Rhinolophus ferrumequinum: one gene and its partner. The protein of the gene in region 1 interacts with the protein of each later gene in a pairwise test. Links are inferred from orthologs where the notes say so. Each region holds a gene or a part of one and is shown on either strand. Other genes may lie near its edges.

The links.
Region 2: the proteins of SMURF1 (region 1) and WFS1 interact in binary tests that used the Homo sapiens proteins (3 or more experiments, as listed by UniProt). The link is inferred for Rhinolophus ferrumequinum from reciprocal best matches to the Homo sapiens genes SMURF1 and WFS1.

The regions. Positions count from the first base shown.
Region 1 is NC_046307.1:6,351,542-6,362,851, forward strand, and holds the start of SMURF1 (E3 ubiquitin-protein ligase SMURF1), read right to left. Parts: upstream 4,405-11,310; 5' UTR 4,338-4,404; coding exon 4,283-4,337; intron 1-4,282. UniProt on the Homo sapiens protein: E3 ubiquitin-protein ligase that acts as a negative regulator of BMP signaling pathway. Mediates ubiquitination and degradation of SMAD1 and SMAD5, 2 receptor-regulated SMADs specific for the BMP pathway.
Region 2 is NC_046288.1:84,123,512-84,134,962, forward strand, and holds the start of WFS1 (wolframin), read left to right. Parts: upstream 1-6,079; 5' UTR 6,080-6,241; intron 6,242-11,423; 5' UTR 11,424-11,424; coding exon 11,425-11,451. UniProt on the Homo sapiens protein: Participates in the regulation of cellular Ca(2+) homeostasis, at least partly, by modulating the filling state of the endoplasmic reticulum Ca(2+) store.

The DNA of each region.
Region 1 (11,310 bases):
AGAAGGAAAACCTCGAAGTCCAGACACCACTCTGATGGTCGCAAAAATAGGAGTTTTGAACTTTGACAAATAAATAGACTTGAAGTTAAAAATTGTAATTTGATAAATTAGAACTACCGTAAAAATACAGACAGAAGTAAAGTATATATTTCATTTCTCAAATCTGTTAGGTGAGTCAAGAAAAGTAAAAAGAATGAAAATGGATTTTTAAAAAAGGGTTTTCTAAAGACAACACAAATGTGATCAAATCACAAATGAAATCAATAATAGAACCTGTATTTGGCAGTATATGACTCCTTTTAAAGTATAATTGTAGTTTAAGTTTTGTAGTAGTATTTGATTGAACCCATCCCACATCCTTAGATAATTCAGCTCAAAGAAGTGTCTCGACAGTACCTCATAAACTTGAGGCCAACCCTGAGGAAAACACACAAACTCATGCGTAGCACATGAAACTCCATCTTATCTGAGTTAGTTGGTAAAAGTTTCTCCTGCCTTACATAGGGAGGTTCTTTACTAGGAGAAACTGACAAAGGCAACACTCTTAATAGATTTATCTTTTTTAAGAGAAACATAACTATTTTGAATCAATTAGGTCACCTGTTACTGATCAATGAAACTTATTAACAGTTATTACTACGACTATTTCTCTCCAAGTTGCATCATCTGAATGTCAGAACACAAGTCAGCCTCACATCATATGTGCTACAACTTTAAAAACAGCCTCCATTCCCAAATGCTACCACGGAAGGTCTCTTCCCACCCCACCCCCCACTTGGAATTAGAATTCTTCTCTCTTCACAATACATAGTCATGCTCCAAAACATATAAAAACACAAGGAGGTCTGAGAGTATTTCAAGGCATAAAAGCACAAAAAAGTTTAGTCATTTGGTGTTTCAACTAACTGGTTAACATTAGAATAAAATTTAATTTGAAGAGCACTGTGGAACACTTAGAGCTCAAAATTCCATTCTTTTACCCAAAGTGGCCTAAATAACATATCTGGGATTCATTTGTGTACCTCATAAGAACAAAGTTTTTGCAAATCCTGCTTGAATTTAAAATGAAAATGTTTCCCAAGTGTTTGATTTGCCAGTGAACTCTAAAATGTCTGCAAGATAATGCTCTTTAATAAAGATCACTCGACTTTAAACATATTATGCCCCCAAACCTACCGAAAACTTTACGAACTATTATCCTGCTAAAAAACCACAGACGTTCATTAAAATTATATTCTTTTACATATAAAGACTCAAATATTCTTTTGTTTAGGCCAGGTTTCCAAAGCAGTTCAGCATATTTTTTTTAAAAAAAAAACAACGGGGTTCCACAGGAAGGAAAAAAAAAAGAAATCATAAATGTAATCAATACACAAAAGTAATGCTTGGCATCAAACATGACTCCTGTGTTTTAACACAAATTTCTGAATATCAGGATCGAGCCCTAATAGAAAGTACAAGCACCCAACAGTAATTTGGAATAAGCCAAATTGATAGATCCTGTGAGGAGAATTAAAGAATGCTATAAAAGGAGCTGAAATCTCATTTTACATGAGGAAACTGAGACTCAGAAAGGTTATATAAGTTGTTCCATATTATGCAGTTTATGGCAGATCGGACCAAAATTGATTCTCAATCCAACGTTCTACTTACCACCAAATACAACTCTAGACCCGAAAGTTCTAAATGCTCTAACTCTAATATCCTCATATTTTGCATTGAATTACGCTGTGTGCTATTCACTAGCTAGAATAGCTCTCATTTCTACACGTCATTTGTTCAAGTATCACACGTGGAAATAGACTCTGAAACCTGTAACAACAAAAGTATACGACTTTTGAAAGATGTCCATCCAACTTGCCAGAAGTGAAGAAGATATTTCAAACTCCCCCTGGCAACATAAAGATGAAGCCAAAACCTAGCCTGTCTTCAACAAAATATCGAGCTCCAACGTTTCCACGTAAATTAACAGACAACTGGCATCACGCGTGTCGGCAGTCATCCCTAAACTCTCAGTTCTATTGCAGGGATGACCATACTCACAGATCCTCTCTTATCACCAATAACATTAGGTGGGAGAAAGGGAAAGGTGTTTCGGAAAGAACACTCATCACCTGATCCTTCACTACCAAGTGACATTAAAACTCTTTAAAGAATTTCTACATCTATGACATATAAATTCCTGAATCCAAAAATAATCTGAGAGAACAAACCAAGTCTTCCCTTTCATGAGGAAAAGCCCTATCCAGACCTGACTATTAGGATTAATACATATACACCTGACACAAACATTGTAATTAAAATCTATTCCTTCTAATACATTAATCACATTTCCACCAAAACTCACAAAATCAGTTACTTTTGCTTTTAACAAGAAAATTGAAACAAATCCGATGTCAATTATAGGTTACTTTGTAAATGAAAGCCAAATTAAAGTTGTCAGTAATTAAAGTTTTACAAGCATTGCAAAGTTAAAAATGTGGCTTTTATGTAACCATAAAAATAACAATGTATATGCATCTATAAAATGAGAAGTGTTTCCTACCAGAATAAAGGGTTATGTTTCTCTAAAAGTAAAGATCCATGGGATAGGCCTGTTACTTTCCAAAACCAGGATCTGGTTTTGGGTCTGAATCATCTGATCCGCTTATATTATCTGATCTTAACCTGATCTGACATCTTTATATATACCTAAAACAAATTATAACCCTCCTCTTGAAACAAAAGATGGATCATGCAACAACTATGGACTTTCAAAGGAAATTTTAGTTAGAAAAGAATCACCCATTGCTGTTTTCACGGATTTTACTGATGATTTAGGGCTATGCATCTGCCATGAGGTGTCCAAAACGCTCACTGTCTCTTTGAGAGGGGATCTGATTTTGGAGTCCTCACCAGACTGCCACTGAACAGAAAAATCCTGGGGAAAACCCCTTACAGGGATTAGCCTGAACTTTTTATTTCCTTTTCAGAGCTGGAAATATTCGCGTTTGGAAAGTCCCCCAGTAGAACAGTATTTGCAACACGACAATCTGGCCTCAGCTATGAATTGAAACTGGGAGACGAGCAGCCGCCCCATAATGCTGAAGAGAGAGAGAGAGAAAGGGCAGATGAGGGTGCAGACGGGTCCAGGGCCTCTGGAGCCCGCTGGCGAGGGGCACCTCCACCAGACACCGCTGGCACCTACACACATCCAAACCACCACGTCGCAGGCCCACAGCAGAGCTTCGCGCTCACCCTTGAAGGTGGCACTACAGAGCCACCTAGAAGGCACCCACATTTCATTGAGACTAAATGAGAGTGAATCAAGGAGCCTGCGCTAGAGCAGCTACCTACCATAGCCTCCAGTGTGTGGGGGGTGTGGGGAATCAACGCCCAATCCAGGCTTAAGGATGGGGGGCGGGGGGCGATGGTAAAGTGCAATGCAGAAAAGGAAAGCATGCAAGAAGCACAGTCAAGAGTAGATAGTGGCCTGGCCAGGGTGAGAAAGGAAGTGGACTAGACTGAAACGGTCTGAACCAGAGGGGAAGCGAGCAGAGACCCGGGAGAAGCTACAAGATAGGATTGAGGAATTCGAGGCTGAAGGAAAGGGTGGAGGCCCCGAGACAGAAGCAAGGGGGCGGGGCTGGGAGATAGGCGAGGGCGGGGCTAGGGAGAAAATGAGGGGCGGAGTTCAGGAGGAAAGTGAGGGGGCGAAACTAGGGGAGAAGAAAGGGGCGGGGCCAGGAGGGGAGAAGCAAGGGGGCAACAGGGTAGAGGGGAAACCAAGAGAGAGGATGGGAAAGGAGTGACAAGTGGGAGCGGGCAGGAGGGAGAAGCGAGGGGGATGGTCTGGGGAGAGACCGGGAAGCCAGAGAGGATGGGAAGGTGGTGAGAAGAGAGGGGCGGGGCCAGGAGGGAAAAGCGAGGGGGCAGGTGAGGGGAGAGGAAAGAAAGCGAGGGGAGGAGTCAGGAGGGGAGAAGCAAGGGGACACGGGGGAGGAAAAGGTGGAGAACGAGGAGGATGGAGGGGAGCAGCGAGGGGGCAGGTGGGAGGGAGGAGGGAAGCGAGAGGACGGATGGGGGGGGCTATGAAAACCGAGGGGGCGGGGCCGGGGAGAAGCGAGGGGGCGGGGCCGGAGGGAGAATCGAGGGGCACTCGCCCAGGGGGGTGATGAGGTCCTGGGACAACGGCCGGCGTGGGGGAGGGCCACTTAAGCAGGGCGCTCCGCGGGAAATTCCGGGCCGTGCGGGGTGCCAGTGGGCGCTGCGGGGGGCAGTGTGGGCCTCCCACCCGCCGTACCTGTCAGACGGATCTTGATGCTGGAGCCGTTCCTGCGCGTCCCAGGGTTCGACATCTCCCGCCAACGATCGTGCAGCCGCGGATCCAGCGCCGCCGCCCCCCGGCCCGGCCCGGCCCAGCCCCGCCGCCGCCGCCTCCTCAAGGTTACGGCTCCGGGCTGGGCGCCGGGGTCCGAGCCGGGACACAAACTCCGCAGCCCAGGCGTCCGGGCGGCGGGCGGATGGTCGAGCCGGAGGATCGGCGCTCCACCCGGCGCCCCGACCCTCGCTTGCTCCCAGACCAGTCTAGTCCGGAGCCGCCGCCTCCACCACCTCAGAGCCGGACGCTCGCCGCCCTCGCCGCTTCCGCCGCCGCCGCCGCCTCCCGGAGCCGCGCGCGCTCCCGCCGTCGTGCCGGCCCGGCCCCGCGCGCGCGCCCGAGCCGTGCGCCCCCGCGCCTGCGTGCGTGCGCGTCCCCGCGGGAGAGGCGGGGCGCGCCGCGCGGCTGCATTGCCCGCCCAGCCTCGGGCGCGCGGGGTCTGGAACCTGTGGTCTCTGCTTCCTGCACCCCCCAGGCCGGAGGCCACTTCGCTGGGATCCCGAGGAGGCGGTCGGGGCCCGGAGTCGGAGCGCGCCCCGGAACCCTGCAGCCGAGGCCGGTGCAATGGGCTGCGGGGTTGCGGAGACGAGGCCGCTGGCAGTCAGCGCCAGGGTTGCCCCGAGGCGGGCGGGCGGGACGGCGCGGCCCGCATACGGTCGCCTTCGGTTTTCGACACAGTCTGGGAGGAAACCTACTTGCAGATGCGGACGCTGAGGTTCAGAGAACCGAATTGATTTTCCAGGTTTCTGACTCAAGGCTCCGCGCTCCTGATCGTTATTGAAGTGATGGTTACATGAACCCGTGGCCTGTTACTACACCAAGCACCTTCTACAAATAGGCAATATTTTCTCTCCCTCTGTTTTGTTTTATTTTATTTTAGTTCATTTTATTTTATTTTATTTTGGGCTTTTAGATAATGCAATTTCAAGGGAGTGACTTCTCAAAGAGACAAAGTCCTCTAAATGTGTTTGGTACAAGTGCTCTGTATTGACCTGTAACAAAGTTGCCAGAATCACAGGAAATGCCACATTTGGACAAAGTGTGCAAGATTCGAAAGAAGGATAAAGTGGAGAGGGAGATGTTTGTTATTATCCAGTCTGCATAGAATTTAACCAAACAAAACAGCAGCTGTACAGCCTGTGTTTCCCTGCCTTCTGCTCACATTTCCATTCCCAGAGTTGCCGGGTAGAACTAGAAAGTTCGTGATGCTTTCTCCAACAAACCAAGTCCTCTCTTAACCTGTTATAGAGGGGAAATAATTTGCTCTTCGGAAAAGCTGGGTTAGTTTACCAAACTCATTTTTTTTTTTTTAATTGGGGAAGGCGAACAGGACTTTATTGGGGAACAGTGTGTACTTCCAGGACTTTTTTCCAAGTCAAGTTGTCCTTTCAGTCTTAGTTGTGGAGGGTGCCATTCAGCTTCAAGTTGTTGTCCTTTCAGTCTTAGTTGTGGAGGGCACAGCTCAACTCCAGGTCCAGTTGCTGTTGCTAGTTGCAGGGGGCGCAGCCCACCATCCCTTGCGAGAGTTGAGGAATCAAACTAGCAACCTTGTGGTTAAGAGGACGCACTCCAACCAACTGAACCATCCGGGAATTCAGCGGCTGCTCAGCTCAAGGTGCCGTGTTCAACCTTAGTTGCAGGGGGCAGAGCCCACCATCCCTTGCTGGACGCGAGGAATTGAACTGGCAACCTTGTGGTTGAGAGCCCACTGGCCCATGTGGGACTCGAACCGGCAGCCTTCGGAGTTAGGAGCATGGAGCTCTAACCACCTGAGCCACTGGGCTGTTCCCCAAAACTCGTTTTTTGACCAACTACCTAACTCTTTGAATGCATTTATTTGGTTTGTGTCCTAAGGAAACCATGATCTGAGCCATGGCTGCCATCCCCTGCAGCCTTGGGCCTTTTCTGAAGTCACAGTCCAAAGTAGAGCCCTCTCCCTAGAGCCCCTTGACACGTCTGCCTCTGCCTGAGCTCTGAAAGCAGTCTCCTGGGTTGGACTCCAGGGTTCTTTGAGCTTCATCAAATAGAAGGACGGGCCTATGTCATTTCTCTGCCCCACTGCAGCTCAAACTGTCAATGATTCCAGTGGAATATCCAAGAATACAAGCTATGTTTAAGTAACAGGGCAGTAGATACAGAATCCAGCTCTGTTTCTCTGAGAGTGAGTCTCGGGGTCAGAAAAAATCCATTTAGTCTCTAACGATCCAAGTAATCCCCATTCCTCTTTCATCCAGTCAGTATTTCTCCGTCTTCATTTTCCCCATACTCAATTAGTCTCTTTTTTCTAAACCAGACTAAACATCTCTATGGCCATTCTTCTGATCCCCAGCTGTTTTCCTGACCAAAAAACCTTTCATTTATTAACCTGTTTTCTTACCTGCCTAGACGTCTGGACCTTCCTTTGCTTGATTGTTTCCTCAACACCCAAGTCTGGAGGTCACTTGTGGAAGTTACTAAAAGTTATTTAGTTTACTCATTAATAAGAAATTGTCACTTAACTAGATACACCTAACAGTGTCTTTCAACACAGCCTACACAAGCAGCACCTTCCTAAATGGAAGCTAATGTTTTATTCATTAGCAAACACGGGCCACCCATTATGTGGCTAGGGGCAAGGAACACAAATAAGTCACAGCTATAGCATTTCAGAGGCTCAGCTGACTGGGTGAAACACGAAAACAACTGACAACCACACAATGATGGAAATGCGAACAGAGAGCTAGAATGTAGATTACAGGACAAGTCTGCTTGGGATCAGAGAAATGGGGGAGATCTTAGAAGAATCATGGAAGTCCTGATGTAGGGCTTAAAGGCAGTGTTTCAGTTTCTTGGGCAAAGAAGTGGGGAAGGGCATTGTAGACAGATGGAAGAGCTTGTGCAAAGGCAAGAAAATGAATGGATTTCAGTGTAAGCACGGTCACGCAGCTGCTTTATCTTCCATCTTTACACCCCACTCCATTAAAAATTGGTAGATGATGAAAGATATTTGCCCACTTAACAATCATCAGGCACGATTTTGTGCTAAGGCTGTGGGCCAGCCCGTATATTGAACTTAAGGTGTACCTCGATATCCTCTCATCCTGCATCACGTTTATCGAAAACACTATCTTCTAAAGATAGCTGGAACAAATAGTTGGGAAATGTCAAACAATTCTGAGACAGAGATGAAGTTCAGTGAGTGTCTTCAAGTATCCTTTTTGTAATGACCTTACAAAAGAGCAGTTTTGACCCTGCTTTCTATGTAGAATTTGGCAGCTGATTTTATTTCCCCCAGATGTATCACTTCCCTGAGTCAGTGCTATTGGGCATTTGAAACATTTTCCAGTGAAAAAAAAAATCTCTCTTTGGATCTGACTGCAGTCATTCTTAACCTGTTTTTTGAGTCCCAAACCTCTCGGGAGAATCTGATGGAAACAATGGACCTTTTCCCCAGAAAAACTCGTATGTGCAAATGCACACCAAATTTTGTATCTGATTTCAGTGCGTACATGATTTCCTGAAACTTGTGGCTCTCATAAGGTCTCATAGCCCCTAGGTTAAGAAGTTCTAATCTAAAGGAAATGATCAAGCAAATTACACTGGGAATGTCCTGAGTGTATTTGTTTAGGAGCCAGCACAGTTGTAGCCCCTTTTGAAAGCAACGGGTATGCTGAAAGGAGGGCAGCTGTCACCCACACAGACCCATACTACCCTGGCTCCATCATATTGCCAGAGCAAGTTAATTAAATTCTCCAAGCCTTACTTTGTTCATCCGTAAAATGGAGATAATGCCTCTCAACTCAAGTTAAAATAAATCATGGATTTAATTTAAATCTTTCGTTTAACTGAAACCATGGATTTAAATTAAACCATGAATGTAGATATAGCAGTCTATTACATCAGGCACTCAGTAAATGGTAGCTGTTAGTACATGTAAAATGTGTGTCTTTGCTCAGAAACCTGCTGGTGCTGTGACCCTGGGGAAATCTGTTTGGGGTGTTGTGCAGAAGGTCCCTGGCGGGGGGGGGGGGGGGGGGGGATGGCTGACAAATGCCTCTTGAGAGCACATTGTTGTTCCTGAGCTGGTGCCTCTGGGACCAGTGGCTAGATCACGTTAGCCTTTAAGGTCTTTTCTAGATCTAGGTCTCGTCTTCTTTTGCTTTTCACCTGAACATCAAGTTTTTCAAACCATTGGATGTACAAAATTGTGATTAATTAGCACATTTATTTATTCTTTTATGCCCAGAAGACTTCAGGATCTTCCTCTAAATTACAACCTAAACTTAATATTACCACTATGCAAGTCTTACTATACTATGACCATTGGTATGGTTTATTACTTGAGTTTTTTAATTGAAATTTTTATTGAGATAATTGTAGATTCAGGTGCAAGTTGTAAAAAATAATACAGAGGGAGCCTCGGACACTTCGCCCGGTTCCCCCCATAGTAAAAATCTGCAAAGTCGTTGTATAGTATCACAACTAGGATACAGACATTGATACAATCCAACAAAATTCAGATTTTCCCAGTTTTACTTGTACTGGTATGTGTGTTAAGTTCTATAGTCTTAACACCTGTGTAGGTTGAAGTATCCACCACCACACTCAAAATACTGAACAGTTCCAACACGATGATCCATCATGTTTATAAACACACCTTTTGCCCCACTCCCAACACCTGGCAACCACTAATCTGTCCTCCATTTCTAAAATGTTGTCAGTTAAAAAATGTTACATGGGTGGAATCATACAAAATGTAATCTTTTGGGATAGGTTTTCTCACTCAGAGTAATTCCCTGGAGATTCATCCAAGTTGTTACATGTATCAAGTTCATCAAGTTGTTATATATATATCAAATAGTTCATCATCCAAGTTGTTACATGTATCAAGTTCATCATCCAAGTTGTTACTTGCATCAAGTTCAACATCCAAGTTGTTACATGTATCGAGAGTTTGTTCCTTTTTATTACTGAGTAGTATTCCATAGTATGGATGTATCACAGTTTGCTTAACCATTCACCCTTTGAAAGACACGTGGGCTAACTCATTTTTGGCCATTACAAACAAACTACTATGAACACTCGTGTACAGGTTTTATGTGAACATAAGTTTCCCATTTCTCTGGGATAAATGCCCAAGAGTGCAACTGCTGAGTCATATTGGAAATTACATGTTTAGTTTTATAAGAAACTGCCAAACTGTTTTCCGGAGCGGCCAACACATTTTACTTTCCTACCAGCAATGTTTCTCAGCATCCTTGCCAGCATTTGGTATTGTCATTATTCTCCTTTGCCATCCTGGTAGGTGTATAGTTATTGTTTTATGGCTGTGGAATTATTTGAGGTATAGATTATTTCTTCAAATATATGCAGCCAGATAAATAGGGACAATTCTAGAAAAACAGTCTTTCTTGATGGTCTTCTTTTAAAAAACAACAACAAAAAAGTGTTTCTTTAAAGATCCTAGTTGAATCCCACAGTCTGTGTTCAAAAACAGCAAGGTCATCAGTGTAAATGAGCTGCTATTATTTTATTAAACTGCCATTATTTATTATTGCACTGCTATTATTTATTAAAAATGTAATTTTTAGAGAGTTGTTCCCACTTAGATGAGCGGTGTTTTAAACAATTGAATTGATTATCCTAATAAAAATAACTAAGACACTACTAGGAATATAATTAGCTCAACTTAAAAAAGTCAGACATGACAATTTATTGTAAATAAACAAAAGAAATGTCCAGGCTTCTGGTCTACTACAAGATTTTACAATTTTTATTGGTTCAAAAAAATAAGATAAAAATTCTCCCAATTCATTATATCTCATCTATATAGAAACAACAGTAACCAGAGAAATTAACAAAATGAAATCCCAAGTAAGACCCTGAGACATTGTTTATTGGCTAAATAGTTTTGCTCATTTTTGGACAGCATTAGAGGAAGCTCTACTATATTGTATGCCAATGGTTCTTGAAAGTGTGGTCACAGGAACAGCAGTGGTCACCTGGTTAGAAATGCAAATTCTCAGTCACCACCCCAGAGTTTTATCAGAAACAGTATGGCCAGGATGCCTGCTCTCCTAGGAATTAATGCCATCTGTCCTTTTATCTTGGGGTCACTCTCTCAAGATTGTAAGCTCTGGAAGGAGTTCCCAATTGGCTGAGTCTAGTCCAGGGTCCATGGACTGGCTGCTTGGGGACAGCGACAAGGAAAGATGAAGCCTCTTTTACTTTCATAATGGGAACTGGGGCACGGCCTCCTGCCCAAAGTATGCACAGTAGGGCTCTCTCCCTAATAGATAGAGAACAGAATAGGCCACAAATGGCTAATGTCTGCCTCAGAAATGTGATGGGGGAAGGAGGGCAGCAGATTAACATTCCCTATAATTTGATTAAACTGATACCAATAATTTAGAGTTCAATTTTTGGTTCCCCAAGCACACACTGACTCAAATGTGAAGATGGAGGCAGCCTAATGAGAGGAAAGACTGAAGGAAGTCTGTGATTTAAAACGAACTGGAAAATTCATGAATCACACACTCTTGCACTAATGATCAAAAAAGGGCTGTAGTAAGTACCCATCTGTGGCAAATATTAACCATACTTTCTGCTGGCAAGGAGGTGACCCAATTCCCCAGCCCCACAGATGCGCTGGACCTGTAACGGAATCATCATTCTGTGCATTCTGCCCAGTGTTTAAATCAAACTCATCCTACTGCTGAGATCCGGCGAAGCTCTAATCTTACCCTGATTGTGCAAAAAGCAGAAACAACTGCAGATGAAAGTGACAAAGATTCCCCTGGTACCGAAAAGGGTGGGAACTGTACCTCACTACTTAAAGGCATTACTATAAACAAATTAAATTAATTTGGGGTTCTGGTTTGTGGGAGGGAGGGCTGCTGTATAATTATTAGCTTCCATTCCTGCTTAGTGAACGTGATCAAGATTTTCAAGAACAGCTATTTCAGATCCAG
Region 2 (11,451 bases), on another chromosome or scaffold:
AGCCGAATTGAGAACAGCCACCGATACTGTATTTTCTCCAGGAAAAAGTTCCAGTTCAACAAATTCATGCAGCATATCGTGTCCCATACAGAAGCAGTCCCAAAGCAGGGCCAGCAGGCACCCAGGCTCCTTCTCCTTCTCGTGCCAGAAGGTTCATTGGCATTTCACAAAGCAAGTCACAACGAGCGTCTGACAGCTTCCATCGCATCGAACAATTTATGGATAACAATTATCTGTGATCACAGTAAGCTTCCTGAGTACTCCATATTTCTGACAATTGTCAAAAACAATCTCTCTTTTGCTAACCTGTCCAAATTGCTCCCACAAATATCAAAAGTGCTTTGCTTCCCCCCAGCTTTCTCTGCCAGTTTGCATGTCAACACGTAGCTATGTTATTCTGATCACTGCTGCTAAGCCAAGCAGGCGTCTGGAAAGTTTGGGGGAGGTTTTGAACTGGGTGATTTTCAGCTCCTTGTGACACTTCCTAAGTGCTGTATACCTGAGCTTTCTTCTATTGTTTCCCTCTAAAGTGTACAAGAAGTTCCCTCTCCCACCACCTCTGGGTTTTGTCAGGAAGTCAGGATTGAAAGCACATTACTTCAGAAGGGAGGGAGGAAAGGCCGCACCCCCACCCACCACCTGAAGGCACAGGAGATTTGAGGAGCCCTGGGGGTGTTTGTGTAAAAGAGGACTTCAGTGTCACAATTCTTTTCAGAGCCACCTGAATCCCCAGCTCGGTAAGCTGGTTGGGTTTTAGACATGGGTCTGTGGGTGGTGTGGCATAGCAGCAGGGACCAAGAACAGTCCGATGAAAGCGGTGTCACAGCATGACCCCGGGCACATCCTTAACCTCTCAGAGCCGCTGACGCCCCACCTGTAACTTGGGGATAACGTGCCTCCCAGAGTCGTTGTGGGGATCTAATGAGCCACCAAGGGTAGTGACCGTTCAGTAAACAGTGGAGGTGGTTGCTGGTGTGATGGAGGGAACCAGCATCCACTAGTCCCACTGTGCGCTGGCACTGTGCTGGCCTCCTCCCCATCCGCAGCTCACAGACCTGCCCAACCACCCATAGGGGACAGGGCTATGCTGCGGTGACCCTCAGAGAGTCCCTGAGCCGCCTCAGCCAGACTTCCCTGACGGCCCCCAGCCATGCTCAGGTATCGGGTGTGAGGTCAGCACCTCCTCGGTGCTTCAGCAGGTGATGAGGAAATAAACGGTGGTCCAGCCACACAGTAGAAAGTCACGGCACGAACGCGAGATGAGCTAGCAAGGCGTGGAAAGACCTGGAGGAATAGATGGAGCACAAGGGATGTTTAGGGCAGTGACACGACTCTGTGGGATGCGTGTCATTACACACTTGTCCAAACCCACAGAATGCACACCGAGAGTGAACCCTCGTGTAAACTATGGACTCTGGCTGATAACGATGTGTCCATGGAGGTTCATTAATTGTAGCAAGTGTACCATCTGGGGGGGGGGGTGTTGGTAGTGGGAAGGGGGGCAGGGGGGACGTGGGAAATTGGGGGGCAGGGGGTACGTGGGAAATCTCTGTACTTTCTGCTCAGTTTTGCTGTGAACCAAAAATTGCTCTAGGAAATAAAGTCTATTAAAATAAGAAAAAGGAGGAGGAAGAAGAGGAGAGGGAGGAGGAGAGGAGAAAAAAGTGAAGTCAGCACTTCCTCCAGGGAGCCTTCCCCGACTACAGAAGCCAGTGGCAATTTCTCCCCCTGCCAGGAACCTGCAGGCTGGCATGGCTTCTCCATGGTTATGCCATTCCTGCTCCCTACCAGGTGGCTGGTGTTTCCAGCCTCTGAACCAAATTAGCCATTAGCCCCTCCAGGGCAAGGATGGGTGTTTCCATCTCTTGCCGTGGTACCTAGGGAGGCCAGTGAGGGAGAGCACAGTAGGTGTTTTAGTGAACATTTTTCCTGCACCCTGTTGATGACTGACATTTATAAGATAGACATGGCATCAAATGACAGATATGCAGTGTTGAACAATGGACATGCTCAGCAAATGTCACTGTGTCCAGCCCTGGTGACACAGAACCCTGTGGCCTGTTGGCCAAGCCATCAGTGGCTCCTGTTGCAACTTGGCTGGGCTAAGGGTCTCCAGATAGCTGGTAAAGCATTACTTCTGAGTGTGTGAGGGTGTCTCCAAGAGAGATTAGCATTTGAGTCAGGACTGAGTAGTCGGGATGGCTCTCCCCAAAGTGGAGACATCATCCAGTCCCTGCAGGGCTGAATAGAACCAAAAAGCCAGAAGGCAAGTGTGTTCTTTGCTTGAACTGGGGGATCCATCCCCTCCCGCCCTTGGACGTCGGTGCCCCTGGGTCTCGGGCCTTCGCACTAGGACCGGGCTGCATCACCAGCTGTCCTGTGCCTCCAGCTGACAGATGGCAGATCATGGCCTTCTCGGTCTCCATGATTATATCAGCCTCTTCCTCACAATCAGTCTCATTCTGTAGCTCTCCCAATGTCCCATTGGTTATGTTTCTCTGGAGAACCCCCACTAATGACAAGTGACTAGTGTCAGTGGGTGGTTGGGGACACGGGGGAGGTCAGAACAGTGGCTGTCCCCTGTGTGGGCATTTGTCCTTCTGCCTCAGAGTCACCTTCACACCCTCAATGTTCTCTTTCCCCATAAGAAACTTCCAGATATACTTGGTGACTCATCGCAAGACCCTGAAGTAGCATTAATTTTGTGCCTTCAGAGATGCGTACGTGACCACTCAGCCTCATGGAGGGGCTCAGAGCTCCTCAGCAGGAATGCAGTGTGTGTGGGTGCACATGTGGGGGTGTGGAGATACAGGCGGGCTTGGGTGAGTGGAGCAGAGATGCCGCTGATGTGGCACCCAGCCCTGGTGACACAGAGCCGTGTGACCGCACCGAGGCCTCCGTTAGAACTCCAGCCACTTCTGTTGCAATTCCAAGAAGATGGCAGAGTGGGCTGTGAGCTCAGGTTTATGAAGGAACACAGGAAAGGAGGGGGGAGCCACTGGCAGAGGGCGGGGGAGGAAGATAGAAGGAGCATGAGTAAACCGGTATGTATTAATGTATTCATCCCCGTTAATGTATTAAAAGTAAATGGAAACGATGGCCTCCAGCCACCACCCCAGGATTTTCCTTTCTCACGCTCCCACCCGCAGGCACTAAAGCAGAACCTTGCACTTCCTCCTTCTCCCTTCAACCAGATGTGATCTTAGAATGTTCTGACTTGTCCACTCAACTCCTGGGTTTGCTAAGATGGATTCTGTTTTTTTACTTCCAGGTGAATACAGGTTCCCCGTACAGTACGTGGTGTATATTTCAAGAATCCTTACTTAGCAATTACTGTACAAAATCCCAGGCGTATTTAGATTAAACCACGTATTTTGCAAGGGTCACTTCTCACCACCATTTCCTGTGCTCCACATCTGCTCTATCTCGAGATCTCCACTGTGATTGAACTATCTTGGTGAGACTGGAACTTCCGTGGGTGAAAGGGAACGAGGCCGGGGCCCTTTCTGCATCTTGCCATGTCAATATGTTCTTTCTTTTGCTCTGATACATGAGTTCCATCGTAGTGGGGAAAGGCCCTTTGATCAGATTGTCAGAGTCCCTGGACGTGGTTGCAAAGGCTCCTAGAAATCTGGTTCCTCTCTGATTCCTGCCTTTATACGTGACTGGTTCTTTCTGGAACTCTGCAAGCCTCTCCTTATCCTTGGAGTCGGAGACTTCACAGGATAGTTTCAGGTCACAGGTATTTTCTTCTAGTATTTCTTTTATTTCTGTTCCCCTCCAGGTCCTTTGGAGCTCTGCACTCTGTGCCTCCTGGAACTGTCCTGCAAGCCTCGCATTTTCTTCCTGACGATTTTCGTGGATTTTTTCCTCCACGTTATCTTCCAGTTTTGTCATTTTCCTTGCCTGACAGTTCTTCTTCTGAATTTGCTCAGGACTTTTAAAAATTTTTAGTTCTGTGGAGTGTGTTAAATGTGTCTACGATCTGACTGAGGCTCCTGAAGCAGTCTCGTACATTTTTATTAAAGTTCATTTTTCTCTTTCCTTAGCCCTCCCCAGGAGAAATTGTTCAATCTGTCCGCTTCCCTCTGCTTATTGAGTACCCTGAAAAGGTTTGGGGAGCATCGTGGCCTCTCTGTCATGTGTGTTTAGGCTGTAAAGACAAGGCCATCGTGGTCTCCTGGGCTAAATGCTGCAGGAGGAGATTTCTCTGCTTGTAGCCTCACAGATGTGAGGACGGTGGCTGGTTCCCAGGGATGGTCTGTCGCAGAAGCCATTCAGGTAGGCCCAGTCCTCCAAGTTGAAGGAGGATGGGCCATAATGGTGGGCAGGTTGGAAATACAAGAAACTCATCTAGTTGGTTTTCAAAGAGCCTCTAAGTTCCCAATAGACAAATGAGAGAGCAGATGCTTCTCAAAAATAACAAACAGGAAATGTACAACCTCATTAGTGACCATGGAAATGAAAATTACAATAGCAGAAAGATGATTTTTCAGTTATATTAGAAAAGGGTTTTTTGTTTTTTTGTTTGTTTTGTTTTGTTTTTTAAGGTAATTCCCCATACCCCTCAGAGGTGAACTGGAAACAACTTGGAGAACCTTGCTTTGGCAAAATGTATCTTTAGATCTGAAAAAGCCTGTCAGGATCCAATGCTTCCATTTCTAGGACTTGACCTCACAAGTACACGTTTAGATCGTGGTGACTTTGTCCTGATGAAATAGTCACACATGTACACAATACACACACAGTGTAATCACAGCGACTTTTGGAAACCCTTTCTTAAATATGCAGAAACCCCAAAAAGTGAACAGTAATAGTCTTTGAGTAATTTTTTCTTGTTTCTACTTTTTGTAATTATCCAAATTTTCTGTAATGAGTATAAGGTTTGGAAAGAATTCTGTGTGACTTTGTGCAAATAACTGTCTATGTCTGAACTTCAATTTTCTCATCAATAAAAATGAGCCAAGGCCACCTGCCTCACTGGGTTGTTCGGGGTGAAATGAAAACCCTCGATGTGTGGGAGCCCCCCACACTGAACCTGGGACAGGGCAGCATGCTGGTCAGTACTGGTTTCCTTCCTTCCTCTGTGAGCCTCACCGTGTTAGATAAGAAGATAGGAGGGGGTGAGGTGGAGAATTAAATGAGGTGATTAATGTAAACTGTGCAGCTTTGATTAAAGTCCCGGGGTCATGTGTTCAGTGGATGGAACTCATCTCCAAAATCATCTGGAATCTTTGCTCCCAACATGCTGGTAACATATCTCTGGCAACCACTCTGAGCCTCAGTTTCTGCAGTGATAACACAGGACAGGTATCACAGGATGGTTATGAGGACCACACATGGAGCAGACACAGCCCAGGGGCCCCGGTGACATTGGCAAGGGCCCCACAGTCTGGGGGATAGACCTTTGCCTTCATCTCCAAACCACAGCTCTCAGACTCTGGACAAGGCCAAAGAAGAGGGTTTGCAAACTGCCTGAGCCTTGTGTCACTCCCTGGGCTAATACACAGTCCTAAACGCATCCCACAATCACCTTGTGAAAAGTGTGCTACGTTCATTTGATTTCGTGCATTTAAAGCAGCATTGGCTACATGTACACTTTTAAATGGGCCACAGTTTTCTGTCTCTGCTGTTGTATCCGGGAGCCAGCTCTCACTGGCCACGCTGGAATTCAGGCACCTGGCGCATAGTACGCGCTCAATCTGTTACTACTGCAATAGCAAGTATAATGACTCTGCAGTCGGGGGCCAGAGTGGTGGGTAGAAGGTGGCCCGAGTTTTGTCCAAGGGTCCAACCACCTGTTACAGAGACCATACGTCTCGCGAAGGAACACGAAGCCTGCTGGCCGGGTCAGGGCCGGGCCTTGGCCAGCCCAACGGGGCGGGGCCGGGCCATGATGGGGCGGGGCTGGGGTCCGAGTCCGCTCAGAAACTTTCCCTGTTGGACCCGCCCCTCCGGCGCCCTCTGCCCGGCGGCGCCCGGGAAATGTCGGCGGCAGCCTGGCGAGGCGCGCCGTGATTGGCGGAGGTGCACAGTGATTGGCAGGCGTGCTGGCCGCTCAGTGGGCAGAGCCGGCGCCGCGTACTCCGGGCCGAGTCTGTGGGCCTCACTCGCCGGCTCCAGCTACAGCCAGCGTCTCCCTCTTGTCCCGCTTCCCTTCCGCCCCGGCGAATCCTTCTCCTCCAGAGCAACTTTGCGGCGATCCGGGAGGCCCGAGGGCGTGCGGCCCGCTCAGAGGCGAGTGAGTACTTAGGGACAGGGGACGGCCGTGCGGGGGACGGGAAAGAGTCCCGGGAGCGCCGGGAGGCGCCGCCCGCCTCGGGCCTCAGTTTCCCCATATGAGCGGATGAGCAGCTCGTCCCAACGCCCCATCCCACCCTGAAAGTTCCCCAGAAGTTGGAGGGCCAGGATCCCGCCCGCTCCGCGACCTCACGGTGACCGATATCTGGATGGGGTCTTCCTCGGGGGTGAGCGCCCCCTCGGCTCCAGAGCCCTGGGGCACTCGCGCCCCGACCACTGTTAACACTCGTGAGTCTCTCCACGAAACCCCCTTGCGGGTGGAAAACAGACCCGACAGGAAGGCGGCTTGTGGCGCGAGGGGCCCGGTGTGTGGCAAGGGGCGCCCCCTCCTCATAGCAACGGTCCCGAGTTGCCCCGTCATGGCCCTTCCCCCGCGGCTCTCGGCGGGACCCAGGGCCGCCCTCAGTGCCTGCTGGAAGGCGCCTGGGCCCCCAGGTGGGGGCTGGTGGGTAATGGGGGTTCAGTCGCCCAGTGGGGACCAGGCTCGCCTGAGTGGCAGCCTCTGGATCAGGCTGCAGAGCTCGCAGCCCACTTAGAATCTGTGTGGCAGTAACCTTCCCCCTGGGGCTCCTCCTGGGGGGTGGGGGATTGGGGGTAATGGCAGCCCCTACACCCTGGCTGATGTAAACCTGGGCCCTCGGGAACGTTAATTTCTGTTTTGACAGATGGAATTTTTCTGGGGAATCTGACCCACCCCTTTTGGGCGTGATGGGGCGTCCTCCACCTATTTTTGGTAGTTGATGTTAAGAAATTCCAAGGAATTAACATTTGTGCGATATTTAATCCTTTTAGTCGCCTTTGGGGTAGGAATTGTCACCCCATTTCACATGAGGAAGATGAGGCATGCTGGGGTTTGGTGACCTGCGCAGGCAAGCAGCAGCCCCACCTCTCCTTACCTTGGACAGTGACCCTTGGCGTTCAGCCCATTTATAAAGGGCTTTCCCTTCTGCAGGGATCCATCACTGCCCTGGGCGCTGGCCGCCTGACCTCCCGGCAGCCCCGGGGGGGGGGGGGGGGGGGGGGAGCTGTGCTGGAAGCCCAGAAGCCACACTTGCCAGTGTCCCCTCCTGTGATTCTCATGAGAGACCCTCAGCGTCTGACCAGGGATTTTGATAGAGGTTCTTTTGTGCCGATGGACCTTTGACTGCACACAGAAAAGGTTGCTGGGAGACCACACCTCACCTTCCTTCCCAGGATGGAAGAGTATGTGGCCGGGCTCCCCTCTCAGGCCTCCACCGCCCCTTGCAGGCCTTACGGACTGGTCACAGAGGGGAACCCCCCAGTCCTGGCACACCGGAATGCCTGTGCTGCAGGACAGAGGACAGAGAGCAAGCCCTGGTCCCCGACGGTGTCCATAAAACACACCCTCATGGAGAAGGAATTTTATGCTTTGTACGAGTCCCTCTCCTCTCCCACGTGCCCACCTCAGAAAGTGGCACCACCACCATGGCCCCTAGCAAACCCAGCCACCCTCTTCTTCCCCACTCCTCATAGTCCGTTGGTGACGCTCCTGTCCCTCCTGGCTCCAGAGCTGTGTTCACATGCCTGCGCTGGCCAGGCCTCCCCTTTCCCTGGATGGCCACCCAGCCCCTTCCGTGGTCCCCCGTCATGTCCCCACACAGCCCTGATGGTTCTTTAACTGCCATTTCCCTGTGTACCACCATCCTGCACCTCCTTTTGGTGCTAAGCCTGCACTGGTTCAGGCCCTCGGGACCTGCCCCCGACACCACTCAGCCTCTTTTCTCATTGCTGTGTCCCCTCCCTCGAGGTCACTTCTTCGCCTCCTGCTCCTTGCTGGCCCCACTGCTGGCTCCATCTCCCTCTGCTGCCATTTCTCTGGGGCAGTCCCTGCTGGAATGCCTACACACCTCCTTTCCTCCCTGTCCACCCTCGCCTGGCTCTAACCTTCTGCTCCTGAAGGCTTAGTCAGGCCTTTCTTCCAGAATCCTTCCCCTGCCCCTTTCCCACAGCTCAGCGAGGAGGCCTCCGTTCTGTGCTTGCAGCCTCAGGTCTGTCCGGGTGTTGTTCTTCCCATCCAGACTGAGTTCTCAAAGGCTGGCCCTAGGAGTCCCCTGTGGGCAGGGAGGTCCTGCACAGAGCAGGTGCCAGGTGTACAGTGGGAGCTCGGCCACTGGGGAGACACTGGCTGGCCATGATCAATGCCTGGGGCATTCCCAACTTGACTCGCGCTTTGTTCCTGTGAACTTGGCACTTGGGGAGAGCCAGAATGTTCCTCAGTCTGGCCGTTAATACTCTGGGGCAAAAATAGGTACCTGGGAGCCTCCAAGGTCCTTGTGCCCTTGTCTTGAGGAGCAGCCCTTGGGAACCCCTGGGCCTGCTCCCTTAGGGATTGGTCACAGATGGCTTTTTAACATTTTGTTGTAATTCCAAGAACCTTGCACATTCATTATAGAAAATTAGGGAAATACATTTAGAAAAGGAATAAAATAAAACCACCCGTCCCTCTACCCAGAGATAGTCAGTATTACCATTTTGGAGCCATTTTCTTCCATCTCTTTCTGCAGTTAAACTTTGTTTTCATCCCAAATAGATTGGAGCTAATATGTCATGCTGCTTTAAACCCTGCTTACCAGTGTTACACACACAGTTTCCTTGTCTTTAAACATTCATACGCAAGCTCACGGTTAACAGCTGTATAGTGTAGCACCACCATGTGGGGGGACAGTAGCAGTCATAACTGCCCTCTCCGGACGGTCGGTGCTGGAAAGGACAGCTGTGACGGACTCCAGGAAGAGGCCTCTGCAAGAGACAGGTGTGGCGGTCAGCAGTTGCACGTGGACGTGGAGGGACAGCACGTTTTGGGAGTGAGTGGGCCAGGGACGAGGAGGTGTAGTGGGGGTCGGGTTGCAGAGGCCTGCGGGGCCCCGTCCTTGAGAGACTCCTTTTTCAGGAACTCACGGGGTTTTTATGGATTGGAATTCCAGCTCCTACACGGAGCTGTGTGGCCTTGAGCATGAATCTCTCCTTCCTGGTCCAGGGTTTCCTTGTCTGTGAAATGGAGTGAAAGATAAGCCAGCTACAACACCAGGATAATACTACCTACCTGGCAAGCCAAATGCGGAACCCCGGGAAAATCTGTGGGAAGTGCTGGGAACATGTTTGTCCTCGTTATGAGTGACCTAGGCGCTCTGGCCTAAGTCAGCCCCCATTCAGGCAAGCTGCCCTCTGCCATTCCAGGAAGGTGGCACTTGAGTCTGGGGGCAGTGGGAGCCACTGGAGATGGCAAGGTAGGATGGGGCCCCCATGGTTCGAAGTCCTGCCTTTTTTTGCCATCTCAGGTTGGCCGCTGACTTGCCTGTGCCCGGGTGGCGTATGCCAAGTCACTGCTGACTTCTTGCCCACAGCGGCTGTGTGCTCACTTTCATCTTCACGCAGCTAAAGAGGAGTTTTGCAGAAGTGGCCTGTTTGTTTGGTTCCCAGAAGCCTGGAGTTTGGAAGCAGCACCGAGCACTGCTTTGATTTCCAGGCAGTCACGTGACTGGGCTGTGCTTTTGTTTTGCACCCGGGGGGGCTCAGTCCCTCTGAGGAAGGAACGTCCAGATTGAAATCTCCAGTGTTCTTTGGGACACAGCTCAGATGTTTGAGACCCACTTGTAGCTGGCGACAGGATAGACGTAGTTGGGTACTCCTGGAACTCATGTCTGGTGCCTGGGGCCACCTCCCTCTTCCTGTGACAGCAGTCGTCAGAAACGTGTGTCAGGCACCTACCCCATCCAGCAGGCTGGGTGCGTGGAGCTGGGTGTGCGTAGATGTCTGGGACCCTCACCCCTCTCATGCCCCTCGTGGTCTCTAGTCCTCACAGTGCCCCCGAGTGTGGGGCAATTGTCCCGATTTTCAGTTGAGGAGACTGGGGTGCAGAGAGGGCCATGACCTACTCAGGACCACACAGCTGGTGGGGACAGAGCCACGGGCAGGGTCTGTCAGGTTAGGTTTGGGACCAGCCTCTCCCTGCTCTCACTCAGTGTCCCCGTCTCATTGAGGAGGAAGGACGTGGCCTTGAGTCTGGAGAGAGTCACGGGATCCTTTAGGAATCCGAGGAAGAGCCTCACAGCATCCCCACACAGGGCACACGTGGTCCCGACAATGTCGGGGGCTTGTGTCCCCCGAAGCCCAACCGCACTCAGGTTCAGCTTTCAGCCCAGAGCCTGCGACCGTGGCTGCCCTACTGCGTCAGTGGGTTGTTAAACAGCACGTACAGCCCCTTTGTTGGCGAATGGAGCCCTTTCCCCTGGTCATGAGACGGTCAGAGAACCTGCATGCTCTAGCCTGTTCCCGCCTCTGTCCCGAGACACCAGTACACGGTTACATCGCTGCTTTTCGGTTCTAGTATCTGGTAACATTCGCCTTCTGAGCTTTGGTCCTGTGGTTCCAGCCCGGTGTGGAGGGCTTTGGAATTGGGCAGATCTGACTACATCCGGCCCCCACCACTGTGGTCGTCCCCTTCTGCTCCGTCTGGGGGGTTCCGGGGGTACGCCCTCCCTGGCCTCTCTCCAGCTTCTGGTGTCTGGTGGTCCTTGGGTTGTAGCTACCGCCCTCTAGTCTCTGCCTTCGTTCCGCCTTCTCCTCTCTGGGTCTCTGTGTGTCTCCCTCCTCTTTTAAGGACACCAGTGACCTAACCCAGGATGATCTCATTTCAAGATCTTGAATTACATCAGCAAAGCCCCCCTTTTCCAAATCAGGTCACCCTCCAGATTTGGGGTAGACTTGCCATGTGGAGGCCGCCACGCAGCCCGGCACAGCCAGGCAGGGTGCTCAGGGCTCTGCATGTGCGACACCTTGCTGACCCTCACTGCAGCCCGTCCTCCCCGCTGCTCAGATAAGAGGCAGGGACTCGAGGCCTCAGACGTGACGGCCCGAGCTGCTGCCTGCTGGGCCTGCTGAGCCGGATGGCCCTGAATGCGATTCCCCCCTCGATTTCCGTCTGTAACATGGGGAAGAAATTGCGGGCGCTGCTGTGAGGTTGAATGAGATCACACAGAGAATGCTGGGCAGCCCCCGCCCTGTTGCGCTTTGCAGTCCCCTCGCCTTCCCAAAAACTAGAGGCCAAGCAGGCGGGCTTGGCCGGGGCTGGGGCGTCTGACCGGCAGCTTTTCTCACCGCAGGATGGACTCCAGCGCGCCTTCTGCGAGC